Kluyveromyces lactis: one gene and its partners. The protein of the gene in region 3 purifies or fractionates together with the protein of the main gene of each other region. This does not show direct contact. Links are inferred from orthologs where the notes say so. Each region holds a gene or a part of one and is shown on either strand. Other genes may lie near its edges.

Region 1 (3,693 bases), on a different chromosome or scaffold from region 3:
TCGAAATGTGGCTTCCGAGGTCAATATGGAGAGCTACAAGAGTTGTACAAAGAATTCCATGCAAAAGGGTTTGAAATATTAGCATTCCCCTGCAATCAGTTCATGAACCAGGAACCTGGTTCCGATGAAGAAATAGGAAAATTTTGCCAGGAGCACTACGGTGTCAGTTTTAAAATAATGAAGAAGTGTAAAGTGAATGGTGTCAATGCTCTTCCGCTATATAAGTACTTGAAAGATCAACAACCGCGAATGTTTGGGTTCACGTTCGTTAGATGGAATTTTGAGAAGTTTTTGATCGATCGCTCAGGGAGAGTCCATGGACGGTATTCCACGTTGACGAAACCGAAAAGTATGAAGGAAGACATCGAACAATTACTAAAACAAAAAAGCCAACTACAATCATGACTAGCAGATGGTAAAGAAGAGTTCTTCGGGGTAATCCCTTTTTCATATTCTGTAATGCCATCTTCTTTCCCGTTTATTCACTTGCAAGAAAAACACAAACACAGTTCGATATTTAAAGAGCATGATTTTCACTTCTTTTTACGATGAAATCACGTACATATATGGGGGCGAGTTCATACATGTTCATTTTTCGACGTATTATCGGATCATATATTTAACGACTCTCACCATCAAATCAGTGATTATTCTAATAATTACAATTTTTATACCTTATTTAGGACAAGTATCATATATCTACTTCAACTCATATGTTATGCATTTATTCTCCGAGATGACGTTCAAGAAATATCCTTGATCTATTTTTACCAATGTCATGGATTCTGCTGTATTTGTTTCGATCGGAAGAGTAGATTTTTCGACAAATGACTGTCCCTTAACATACTCATACCATTGTACTTGTGAATTACCCATGCTTACGAAAAAACCTTTAGCTGTATCGTCCAACTCCACACTGATGATATTCTCAGCGAAAGAAAGTGGTTCCATTGCCAAGGTGCCTGGATCCTTTCTTAAATCGTAAACATTCAAGTCAGAATCACCAAAGACAAACATCCAATAACCGTTCAAACCAAAGTCTACTCTTTTAGCTGGGAAGCCAGTTGAAAATTTAATCGGATCTTTTGTAGCAGCCAATAGGTTTATTACATATACACCTTCGTTTTGGTTACCAATAGCAAGAAGAGCTCCATCTTTATGATAATTCACAAATTGAACGGAATCGTTCAATTTAACTTGTGAGATGGTGAACAGTGCTTTTTTGGTAACTTCATACCCATATATTGTACCTCTTTCAGTTACGAATAAGAAGTAAGAATCCGATATTTGATGAGGATAAGCCATAAATATCACTGGCCCATCAGTTCCTTCCAAAACTTCTTCATACAACAAAGACTTTGTATGAAGGTCATACGCTGCTAATAGTCCCTGGGTGAAGGTGTATAGAACGTCTTTAAACTCCACCAGATATTCTGTGGCTTGTGACACATCAAGAATAGAATCTTGAGGTCCAAACACAAAAGCTTTGTCATTATCTTTTACAACAACAGATCTTTCATTAAGATTGACATGCTGATTTCTGCTAATCAAATCAATTTCAGAGAAATCTGTCGATTGAACGACTGAAACGTTGGAGAAGTGTTGTAGCTTTTTCTTAGACTTTTTGGAATTTGTCACGTACTCTTGAGATTTCGTCGATAATTCTGAAGTAAAGTCTGATAGAATTTGGTCTGAGTTCTGGAGTTTATCAATAGTTCCATCATTTTCGACATTCGAGGAAGTTATTGCCGATGTAAGTTCTGCTAATTCTTGCTTCAGCTGATCTCGCTCTACAAAAGCTTTTGCTGCCGCTGATGCAACAGCGTCAAACCTGTAAAGTGTATCACTGAGATTCTTTTTACAAACGTCTAACTGCTTCCTTAATTCGAAATTCTCGAGCATTACTGCATCCCATTCTTTCTGCAAAGTTGACAATAGACTTGGAATGCTATAGTTGTTTGCGATAGTAGACGAGCTCAATGATTCTGAAAGTGATATCTGCTGTGGAGTCGCATTGATTTCAACCAAATCTGTTTTTTGTAATGGATCATCCGTTATGGGATCTGTTCCTTTCTGTTCAATATACTGTTCGATTAGATGCTGTTCAAATATACATTTGGAATTAGGTGAAAGAACAGCTTTTATAGGTGGTTTCCCACTAATTGCACAGAACATAATTAGCGTACCTCAATTTAGCCAGTCCTTAAGTAGTTTCACCAGAAGTAAGCCCCAAGGTTCTCCTTTTTGAAGCCATTATCTAATTATGTATATCGGTGCTTCATCTTTCATGTAACATTTATGTTGGTTTTCTAATGTTAAATAAAAATGCTTTCGTTTCTCTTTTGAACATGCAAAAAAATACTGGATGAAGAAATGACTTTATTTAACAAATCAACTCACATCTTAGTTGGCTGGTTAGAACGCTCCAACAGGTTAGAATACAATCTGCAATATTCATAGAGCTCGAGATGTATATAGTATTTTTATATATATATATGCTAATTAAAGGAAAAGAAGATATACTACATACAAGAAAGACACAAATATAATGCTGATATATCATTCTTCTATGAATTCTTCCATTTCCTGCCAAGCCCAATTTCTCCAGATGTCTCCAGCCTGCTGGTAGATGTCATCAAACGAGTGTGCAGTCTTATCGTCAGTACCGACCTCTATCATCATATGATTTGAAGAACTTGGTCTAATTCCTGAAGCGTTGGATTCATCTGTGTCTGTCGAACTTCCACTAATGTCATCATCCTCGTACATCTTCTTGAAGTTGTAGTCATCGAATTTTGATATCAGTGGGACATTATTTAAGAACTCGGTGATCTCTGTTTCCTCAAACTCTAAAAGTTTAAATTCGTTATGTTGCATAATGGCAACATATATGAAAAGTAACTCCGCATGAGGGTTCAAGAGCGAATATGGAATCTCATTTTCTTGTGTTTCTGTAGTATGACCATCGTCCCCATATTTATTTCTTCGTATCAATTCCCGAATGACATCTTCATCTTGGTTCAATCCATTTTGACCGAGCCTTAACGACATCAAATCTGGGAACCAAAACTCATCATGTTCACATTTGCAAATCTTATGGAAAATCTCTGAACTCAGTTTCAATTCAGGTGGATAAATGCTTTCAAATGATTTATGGTTGTACTCGAGATAATAGTTGATTGATTCAGGACGTGGTCTCCATCCGAGCAACACATCCCATACTCTTCCTCTATCCTGACGATGCAACACTCTGCAACCACAACATTTGATCCACCAATACAACCAAGTAGCCTTCTTGGAACCTTGCAAAGCGCCTTCATCAGTGATGGGTTGATACAGTTCGGGTAACGTCTTGGCGAAAACCTTGAAGAACAATTGCGATTGTTGATTCAGATTCCCACTCTTAAGTAGGTGATAATTAGATTTATCAGGTTTTTCGTCTAATGCTGGAGCATGAAACAACACTAATACTAAACGCTCATAGATAGCGGCAAAATCAAACTCGGTATCAGGTAATTGATTCAGTAGTTCATCAGGAATTGGATATTCCTCATATAAATGTCTCAGACAAGAGTTATGATGATGGTGTTTCCGACCTGCCAAGACCAAATCATCGTTATTCTTCAAGGGACACCATTCTGCCAAGCCAAGAGCTATCCAGATGAGCCCCGACTCATATTTACAGATTTTGTT
Region 2 (4,670 bases), on a different chromosome or scaffold from region 3:
ACAAGTATACTCCCATGAACCAAGGCAAGGATTCAAAATAAACTAATTCCACAGCTTCGTTGGAAGGATTACGAAATACTGATCTTAACCCGCCACGGTCTTGGCCATAACCAGTGAGAGCTCTGGAAACGTATATTGGAGTCTTTTTGGAGGGTAGTACACTCTTAGAGTCTGTCGTTTCCAAGCGAACATCATGTGGTTTGTTATTGTTGAGATCGAAACAGTTGTCGTCGGTTGCAAAATATGATTCGTCGACCTGTATCATAACGTCCCAATGTGAGGGAACGTGAACACATATTTTTGAGCTTTGTTCGCCAAGCAAGCTGCCTCCACGGATTTTCTTACCAAATAGTTTTGAGATGCTGAAACTAACTTCTTTGCTTTGAGGTAACGGGAAACATTGGAACGCGTCGTGTGGTCTATTCGTGTCACAACGAAGTTCGTCGCCTGGTAAAGGCTTCGGAATTGGTCTGTCAGCTCTGGCCAAAGCATTTGGTACGTTGACCACTGTTTCGATAAATTCTTCCATAACAAAGTGGCAATTGGCAGTTGATTCGTCACAAACAGTATTGACATCAATCGACAGACTGTGCCAATTTGAATCAAAGATCTTGTGGCCATCTAACAAAGAGGAGATACCAGATTTCCCTCTTGTTGGTAAAAGTTTTACAAATGGGGTCAAATTTTCAGTACAAACCGGTTCGTTGGCTAAAGTTGCTCTCATGAGGTAAAGATGGTTGCTTTGATTCAGTAGTGGGATCGCTTCGTCTTCTTTCGGTAAGAATGATGATACCGGAAACGTCGTCTTTGAAGTGTCAATGAAATTGATGGAAGCACAGAACAATCCACTTAACGAATTGGCCAACGTTATCCATGATTTCAACGCTTCTTCCTTCGATGGTGCTTCCACAATAGCCCATAATTCCACACCTGTTCCTCCAGATTTCAACCCGTTGTGTGGAAGCTGGCCCCATTCTTGTGAATCCCATAGCCCATGTGTAAATCTCAAGTGTAACTGTCTGGTATTAGTCTGTGACATAATGGGCCCAACGGGCTTCGGGAAAACTGTGTGATGAGAGTATTCACTGGATTCGTGCTGGTCTCTATCTATACCAAATGGCTCTGATTGCATATAGAACTGAAAACTTGCAAGCAAAAAGTTGTTAGGCAAGGGAGTTAGATCCAGATGCTCTCGAAAATTATACTCAATAGGATGCTCTAGTGAAAGAAACTTCGAGGACTGTGTTATTCTCGATGATTCCCCAGGCTCTGCATTCCAGCTTTCATCTATAACATCTTGCTGAACTGATTCTGTTTCGTTGTCAACTGGATTAACTTCAAAGTCTACTTCAGCCGTCACGATGGCTGCTAGAAGCAAAACTGGAATCCAATTTTGTAACCTCATGCGGTATGGACCCAGAGTATAATACTTTTCTAAAAGTTAGGCTATTTTCTGGCCTCTTAACTAAACTATCCTCTTTTCTCTGTTGAGAAGTATCGTTCTTTGTTTTGTATATGTGTTTATAATTAAAGATTCGAGTTACAACTTAGTAACAATTTTGATGTCAAGAACCTTTGAATCAAAAGGAAGAAAGGTATAACTGAAAGGCAAGCACCAATCAGGATCTTTATTGCTATTGCCGAGTTTGGTATTAAACAGCTGTACTTAAAATGGAAGCTATCAAGTTCGAAAAGTCGGGCCAGCGACATTCTCTTACAGGACAATACACTGCTCCCAGAGCCATATTGGAATCGACTGTAGGGAAAGATGAGGGGGATGATGAGTTGACAGCCAACCAGAAGCAACGAAGCTTGTATAATAAACAGTCTGATTATCATAAGAGAAGGTTCCTTAGGAATTTGGATGAAGAAGTGGATGAAGAGCAAGTGAAAGATGTGAAAAGAAGGAAAACCGATAAGGATGGTGATAAGGAAGAGGAAAGTGGCGGTGGATATACGATGCCCAAGACTTCGCAGCATATTATAACTGAGCTCTCGGAAGAGATGGTTACTGAAGTTCCAGGGGTACGTAATCTTCAGTTCTTTAAGCCTTCAGACAGACAACATTTCGCAATTTTGTTTGATGAAAGGTCTCCAGAAGATATGACTGAAGAGGAAAGGAAACAGAAACAGGTTTTAAAATTGGTACTTAAGGTGAAAAATGGGTTACCAAGCTCTAGGAAAATAGCTCTCAGAGCACTCACTCAAAAGGCACCCTCTTTCGGGGCACCATTGTTATTTGATTCGATCTTGCCCATTCTTCTCGATAAAACACTTGAAGATGAAGAGCATCAACTAATGTTGAAACTTATGGATAGAATTCTTTTCCAGCTCCAGGATTTGGTAAAACCATATACACATAAGCTCCTAATAGTATTATGTCCTATGCTTATAGATCCTGTGCCCTTGACTAGATCTACAGGTAGAGATATTATAACTACTTTGGCAAAAGCCGTGGGACTACCGACAATGATATACACAATGAGACCAGATCTCGACCATGAGGATGAGTATGTGCGAAACACGACGGCGAGAGCAATGGCCGTTGTATCGAAAGCCTTCGGGGTAAGTCAAACAATACCATTCCTACGATTGGTTTGTAGATCGAAAAAGAGCTGGAAGGCAAGACATACTGGGATAAAGATAATTCAGCAAATTGCTATTTTAGTAGGGATTGGTAGCTTACCATACCTCGACGATCTTATCGCATGTATAGAGAAGGGATTTCAAGATGAACATCCTCCAGTGAGAATCATAGCCGCTCAAACAGTGTCATCATTGGCACAAAGCTGCCAGCCATATGGTATTGAGCGCTTTAATCCGGTCCTCGAACCACTTTGGAGAGGTGTTAAACAAAACAGGGGAAGAGAACTAGCTGCATTTTTGAAGGCTCTAGGATTTCTCATTCCGTTGATGGATCCCGAATATGCGTCGTATTACGCTGAAGAAGTGATGAAGATTGTAAAGAGAGAATTCAATTCACCGAACGAAGATATGAAGAAAACGGTTCTATTTGTTATACAAAAGCTTTCCGTGACTGAAGGTGTAACACCTCAGTATCTGAGAAAAGAGCTAGCAGCAGAGTTTTTCAAACAATTTTGGGTTCGTAGATCGGCTTTGGATCGTCAACTCAACAACATAGTAACATTTACTACTGTTTTATTGGCTAATAAGACTGGAGCTGCATTCACGCTTGAAAAGCTTATATATCCATTAAAGGATGAATCTGAACCGTTCAGAACAATGGGTGCACATGCAGTTAACAGAGTTGTGAAAGCATTAGGAATGACAGATGTTGATGAAAGGCTTGAAGCGAGGTTGCTTGATGCTTTACTTATTGCATTCCAAGATCAAACGAATGGTGAGAGAATTGTCTACAGATCTATTGGAACTGTCGCCAAATCTTTGAATACCAGAATGAAACCGTATATTTCGCCGGTGTCAAGTATTATTCTAGAACATTTGAAACACAAAAAACCTTTGGTTAGAACACATGCGGCGAGTTTATGTGCCCTCTTGATCCCGGTTTTCAAACACTGTGAAGAAACAGCTCTTATCAATAAATTCAACATTATCCTTTTTGAATCGTTAGGCGAAGTTTATCCAGAGGTGTTAGCTGCAATCATTTCCGCAATGGACAAAGCTGCTGCACAGATAAGGCTAACTGACTTACAACCACCTCCGAATCAAATTTTACTATCATTGACACCAATTTTGAGAAACAACCATCCTTTAGTCCAGGAATCTACTGTTAAACTTGTTGGAAGAATTGCCAGGCGTGGGCCTGAATATGTTTCTCCTAAAGAATGGATGCGCATTTGTTCTGAGCTTTTGGAAATGTTAAAAAGTCCTGTGAAGTCCATCAGGGTGGCAGCGAACAGAACATTTGGATATATTGCCAAAGCGATAGGACCTCAGGATGTTTTGGTAACGTTGTTAAATAATTTGAAGGTGCAAGAACGTCAACTTCGTGTTAACACCTCTATTGCAATTGGTATCGTTGCTAAGACATGTGGGCCATTTGTTGTCATACCTGCATTGATGAATGAATACAGAACACCTGACACAAACGTACAGAACGGTATTTTAAAGGCACTTGCCTTTATTTTAGAATACATTGGTCCCATGTCTAAGGATTACATTTATCCACTTATACCGTTGTTGCAGGATGCTCTAACAGATAGGGACTTGGTTCATCGACAAACTGCAGCAACCTGCATAAAGCATTTAGCTTTCAATTGTGCAGGAAGAGGATTAGAGGACGCGTTCATCCATTGCATGAATTTATTATTGCCAAACGTCTTTGAAACTTCACCTCATGTTATTTCCAGAATCCTAGAGGGGCTAGAAGGACTAAGAATGGCTCTAGGACCAGGTGTTTCTATGAATTATGCCTGGGGAGGTTTATTTCATCCTGCTAAGAATGTTCGGAACGCATATTGGAAACTATATAACGGAGCATACGTCGCTCAACCAGATGCTTTGGTTCCGTACTACCCTGTCAATGAGGTAGAAGAGCTTAACTTGTTATTATAACTAGAAAATTGCAGTAATTATTATGTAGTTAAAAATTAAAGATTCTATTGGTTTTAAACTAAGTTAGTGATCTCTCAAGGATCGGAAGAAGTAGAACTCCTGTCGTCTTCCTCACCTTCTTCAATATCATCGGT
Region 3 (3,476 bases):
TGGAAAAGTATATCAGATAACATGAAAGCCAGCAAATATGACGATATGAACATCGATGAGATGGCAAAGATGGCGGAGGAAAAGTTAGCTGTAGATGAACTAGCATACAACGAAAAAATAAAGGAACAAGAAAGACAAAGGGAGGAAAAAAAGAATTCCAGTCTTTCACAAAAAAACACATCATCTTCATCTTCCATAACTTCAAATTCTTCCTCATTAAACGTTTCTCCAAATATTTTATCGCCTTTAAGACTGAGCCGGACATCTTCAGTTTCGCGGTCAGAAGAATCAAGGTCCCCATCATCACCAATACCTTTCACTGATGCGAAGTCTAATATATCGGCTAAAAAGACCAGATCAGTCAGAACAAGAAACAGATCGTCATCATTGCAATCAGTATCAAGTCTTGAAGATACTTCCACTGCTCGGAATGGTATGAGATCCAATTCTCTTCAATCAGGTTCTCTGAATACACAAAGAATTGTACAGAATGCATATTCAAAAGCATTACTCTCGTTAAATGAGAAAAGAGGCCCAAGACTAACACCAACAAAGCTGAATAATTCTATAAGATCAAAATCACCTTCTCCAACTGTGTCACGGCAGAATTCCGTAAAACAGAGGAACAAAGTGAACATATTGAAGCTAAATGAAGTAGACGAAGATGACATCAATGAGAAATTCCACGATCTGAAGCTGGACGATGATACTCTAATCGTCTCTCAGGAAGTGTTATCTCCAGAAGGTAGTGAAACTCCTAAGATCATAGTTTCTGTTGCCGATGACAATCAGTCGTCTTCAAACAACGACAGCGAAGTTGAAGGTATTGTGAAAAAGGTGAGATTTATAGGGGTTCCGCCTATGTCACAAGATGAAAACCCTGAGCCTAAAAGACGCGGATGGTACAAGAAGCCTGCCGTGTTGCATTATCCACCTCCACCTGCACAGCACTCACTTCAAAAATTCAGAACAACTCAAGAGGGTCTTGCATTTCGCACAAGTTTGATCTCCAGAGACCAAGGTTCTGATAAAAAGTTCGGTTTTGACAGCATGTACTCATCAGGTCAAGGGGCGGATACTAAAATAGTGGGTAAAATCAAGGATAAACTGTTTAAATAGAAAGAATCTTTTAATTTCTATTTGCAGTGAACTTATTTCCATTATAATATCAACTTTTAACAATGTATTTGAAATTTAGAGAAAATATTTAACTATTGAACATTCCCATAATTTATAAAGTAAAGTAGGTAAGGCTTGAAACATAGGAACAAACCTGTTATAACACCACTAGAACGGTCTGACATGTCATTCAGGACACTCAGCTCATTGCTACCGAGTCCGCAAAACTCAGAAGTCTCCGAGTCTTCAGCATTTTCTAGACAATCTAAGGAAAACATAAAGGATACAATAATATTAGACAAGCTACGACCGGAGAATCTACCAGTGGCCTCAATATCTGACTTTGTACCTCTTAGACAACGTGATATATCACTAGAGGCACCGTTCCCATCGACATCACAGATTAATCAAACATATGTAAAGACTAAGGCGTTTCTAGACTCGCTGCTAACGAAAAAGAGCTCTCTACAATTATCGTCTATTGCGAACAAGGACATCGTAAAAAGAGAAGCAATAAGCTCTGTAAAATCTGGTACTCAACGTTCAGTTAAAGTAATAGAACATAAGAAGGATCCTTTACAACCGGTAACACACAGGAAAAGGAAGGTCGTTGTACCATCGGAAGAAATTCAGGCGCCTATACTTCATAAGTCGGATGACCCTAGTATTAAACCTACAAAGGAAGAGCTTGATAAATGGAGAATTCCATCCGCCATTTCGAACTGGAAGAATCCTAACGGATTTGCTATTTCTTTGGATAATAGAGTTGCTATTGAATCAATAAAGACGGACTGCCCAGATAATGATAAGAAGGACAATTTCCTTCTGCTATCTGAGGCACTAGACGAAGCAGAAAGAGAAGCAAGACAGAGAATCAACATTAAGCAAGAGGCGTACAAGGAGTTAGAGAAGGAAGAAACTTTAAAAAAAGAACAAAGGTTACGTCACTTAGCTGAACGTGCTAGACAGGATAGGGAAAATAGGCGACAGTACGAAAATGAAGATCATTATGTTAGGGAAATGGAGCGTAATCAACGTAGGAGAGCAGAACGCGAATTGGAACGGTCGAATAAAATGAGCACAGCAGAAAAGTTAAGACGATTGGCGTACCAACAAGGAAGAGATGTTTCTGATAAAGTTGTTTTAAATGCTGCAAAAGCCACCGAGACCCCAGATCTTCAGTACGATTCCCGCTTGTTCAAGAAAGCGGCATCATCTGTGGCATCATCTTCAAATCAAATTTTCGACCATCCATTGTTCAATAATAGCCAGATTGACAACATTTACAGGCCAACTACTGGTTCTAACTTAGAAAACGAAGATATTGTTGATCGACTCTCAAATAAGAAAGGAAGAACTGGACCGGTAGAGTTCTCCGCTGCTGATGATGGCAAAAATGCGGAACAGAATGAGGAAGATAACGAGCATGCCAGAGAATACGGTCTTCAAGTGCGTAAGAAGCCTCATACTTCTTAATTGTGCGATACCGATATACTGATATAATTGTATGTAATAATATTCAAGCACTACTAATTGAATGAAATCAGCGAATCAGTCATTATTTTCATCGTCAGTGATTGAAGAAAACTCATCATTCCTATCATCTGTCAGAAGTATTCGGTTCAAACGGTGACTTCTTCTGATAGCAAATAACTCAACTTTTTTAATAGTTCCGCTAACTTTTATTGGATTCATTATGATGGGCCCAACAGATTCAATCTGGTTCATCAAAGCAAGTGCCATTATTACGTACTGATGGTCATCATGGCCACATCGTATTATACCGGTTGATGTTCTATTCGAAAAGTATTTGATCTGTAACAAAGCCGTAGCCTTTCCCAAGCCATAGTCCCCGAAATTCACCTGTAATTGTTTTCGTAGTTCCTGCAAAATATTTCTCGGACTGATAGTATTTGGTGATACTTTGTGATGCGTGGTTAAAATGTCCTTCTTGGTTATATCTGGCACTGTTTCGTACTCATCATCTACATCTGGATATAGTACTTCGAAAAGAATGTATCTGCTCTTTAAACGAACCATTGGATTTCTTCTATTTTGCCTATTATGACAGCAAGTTTTATTAATAGTAGGATGAAACCCCCGAATAAACGTTGTTGCACAACCGTCCTTTATCAAAATCTTGATTCCTTCACAGTTGATCTCCATCATAACTCTAAATCTTGTAATGTGAAGCATCTCTCTTTTTTTTTTTTTTTTTTTTTTTTTTGGTTTGTCGCATTCAAGTCACAGAAGAAGAACGAGAATACGCCAAGCATGTCCAATATTTTATGCATTATTGCCGCATCACCAACCTTAACTAACAGATTGTGTAAATATCAGATAATTCATTCTCTATA

What was found. The genes of interacting proteins can lie anywhere in the genome.
Region 1: the proteins of PRP45 (region 3) and PRP19 purify together in Saccharomyces cerevisiae (affinity purification with mass spectrometry; 5 studies listed by BioGRID, with this or other methods). This does not show direct contact. The link is inferred for Kluyveromyces lactis from reciprocal best matches to the Saccharomyces cerevisiae genes PRP45 and PRP19.
Region 2: the proteins of PRP45 (region 3) and HSH155 purify together in Saccharomyces cerevisiae (affinity purification with mass spectrometry, with the first as the bait; 3 studies listed by BioGRID). This does not show direct contact. The link is inferred for Kluyveromyces lactis from reciprocal best matches to the Saccharomyces cerevisiae genes PRP45 and HSH155.

What each region holds. Positions count from the first base shown.
Region 1 is NC_006040.1:326,840-330,532, reverse strand, and holds PRP19 (E3 ubiquitin-protein ligase PRP19), read right to left. Parts: upstream 2,176-3,693; coding exon 700-2,175; downstream 1-699. Other genes in the region: KLLA0_D03905g (glutathione peroxidase), read left to right, coding at 1-405; OCA5 (Oca5p), read right to left, coding at 2,560-3,693. UniProt on the Saccharomyces cerevisiae protein: Probable ubiquitin-protein ligase involved in pre-mRNA splicing.
Region 2 is NC_006037.1:833,982-838,651, forward strand, and holds HSH155 (U2 snRNP complex subunit HSH155), read left to right. Parts: upstream 1-1,671; coding exon 1,672-4,536; downstream 4,537-4,670. Other genes in the region: GPI-anchor transamidase subunit GPI16, read right to left, coding at 1-1,405; APL6 (AP-3 complex subunit beta), read right to left, coding at 4,611-4,670. UniProt on the Saccharomyces cerevisiae protein: Contacts pre-mRNA on both sides of the branch site early in spliceosome assembly.
Region 3 is NC_006042.1:223,868-227,343, reverse strand, and holds PRP45 (mRNA splicing protein PRP45), read left to right. Parts: upstream 1-1,302; coding exon 1,303-2,595; downstream 2,596-3,476. Other genes in the region: protein phosphatase regulator GIP4, read left to right, coding at 1-1,119; RNA-binding protein POP5, read right to left, coding at 2,671-3,315. UniProt on the Saccharomyces cerevisiae protein: Involved in pre-mRNA splicing. Associated with the spliceosome throughout the splicing reactions, until after the second catalytic step.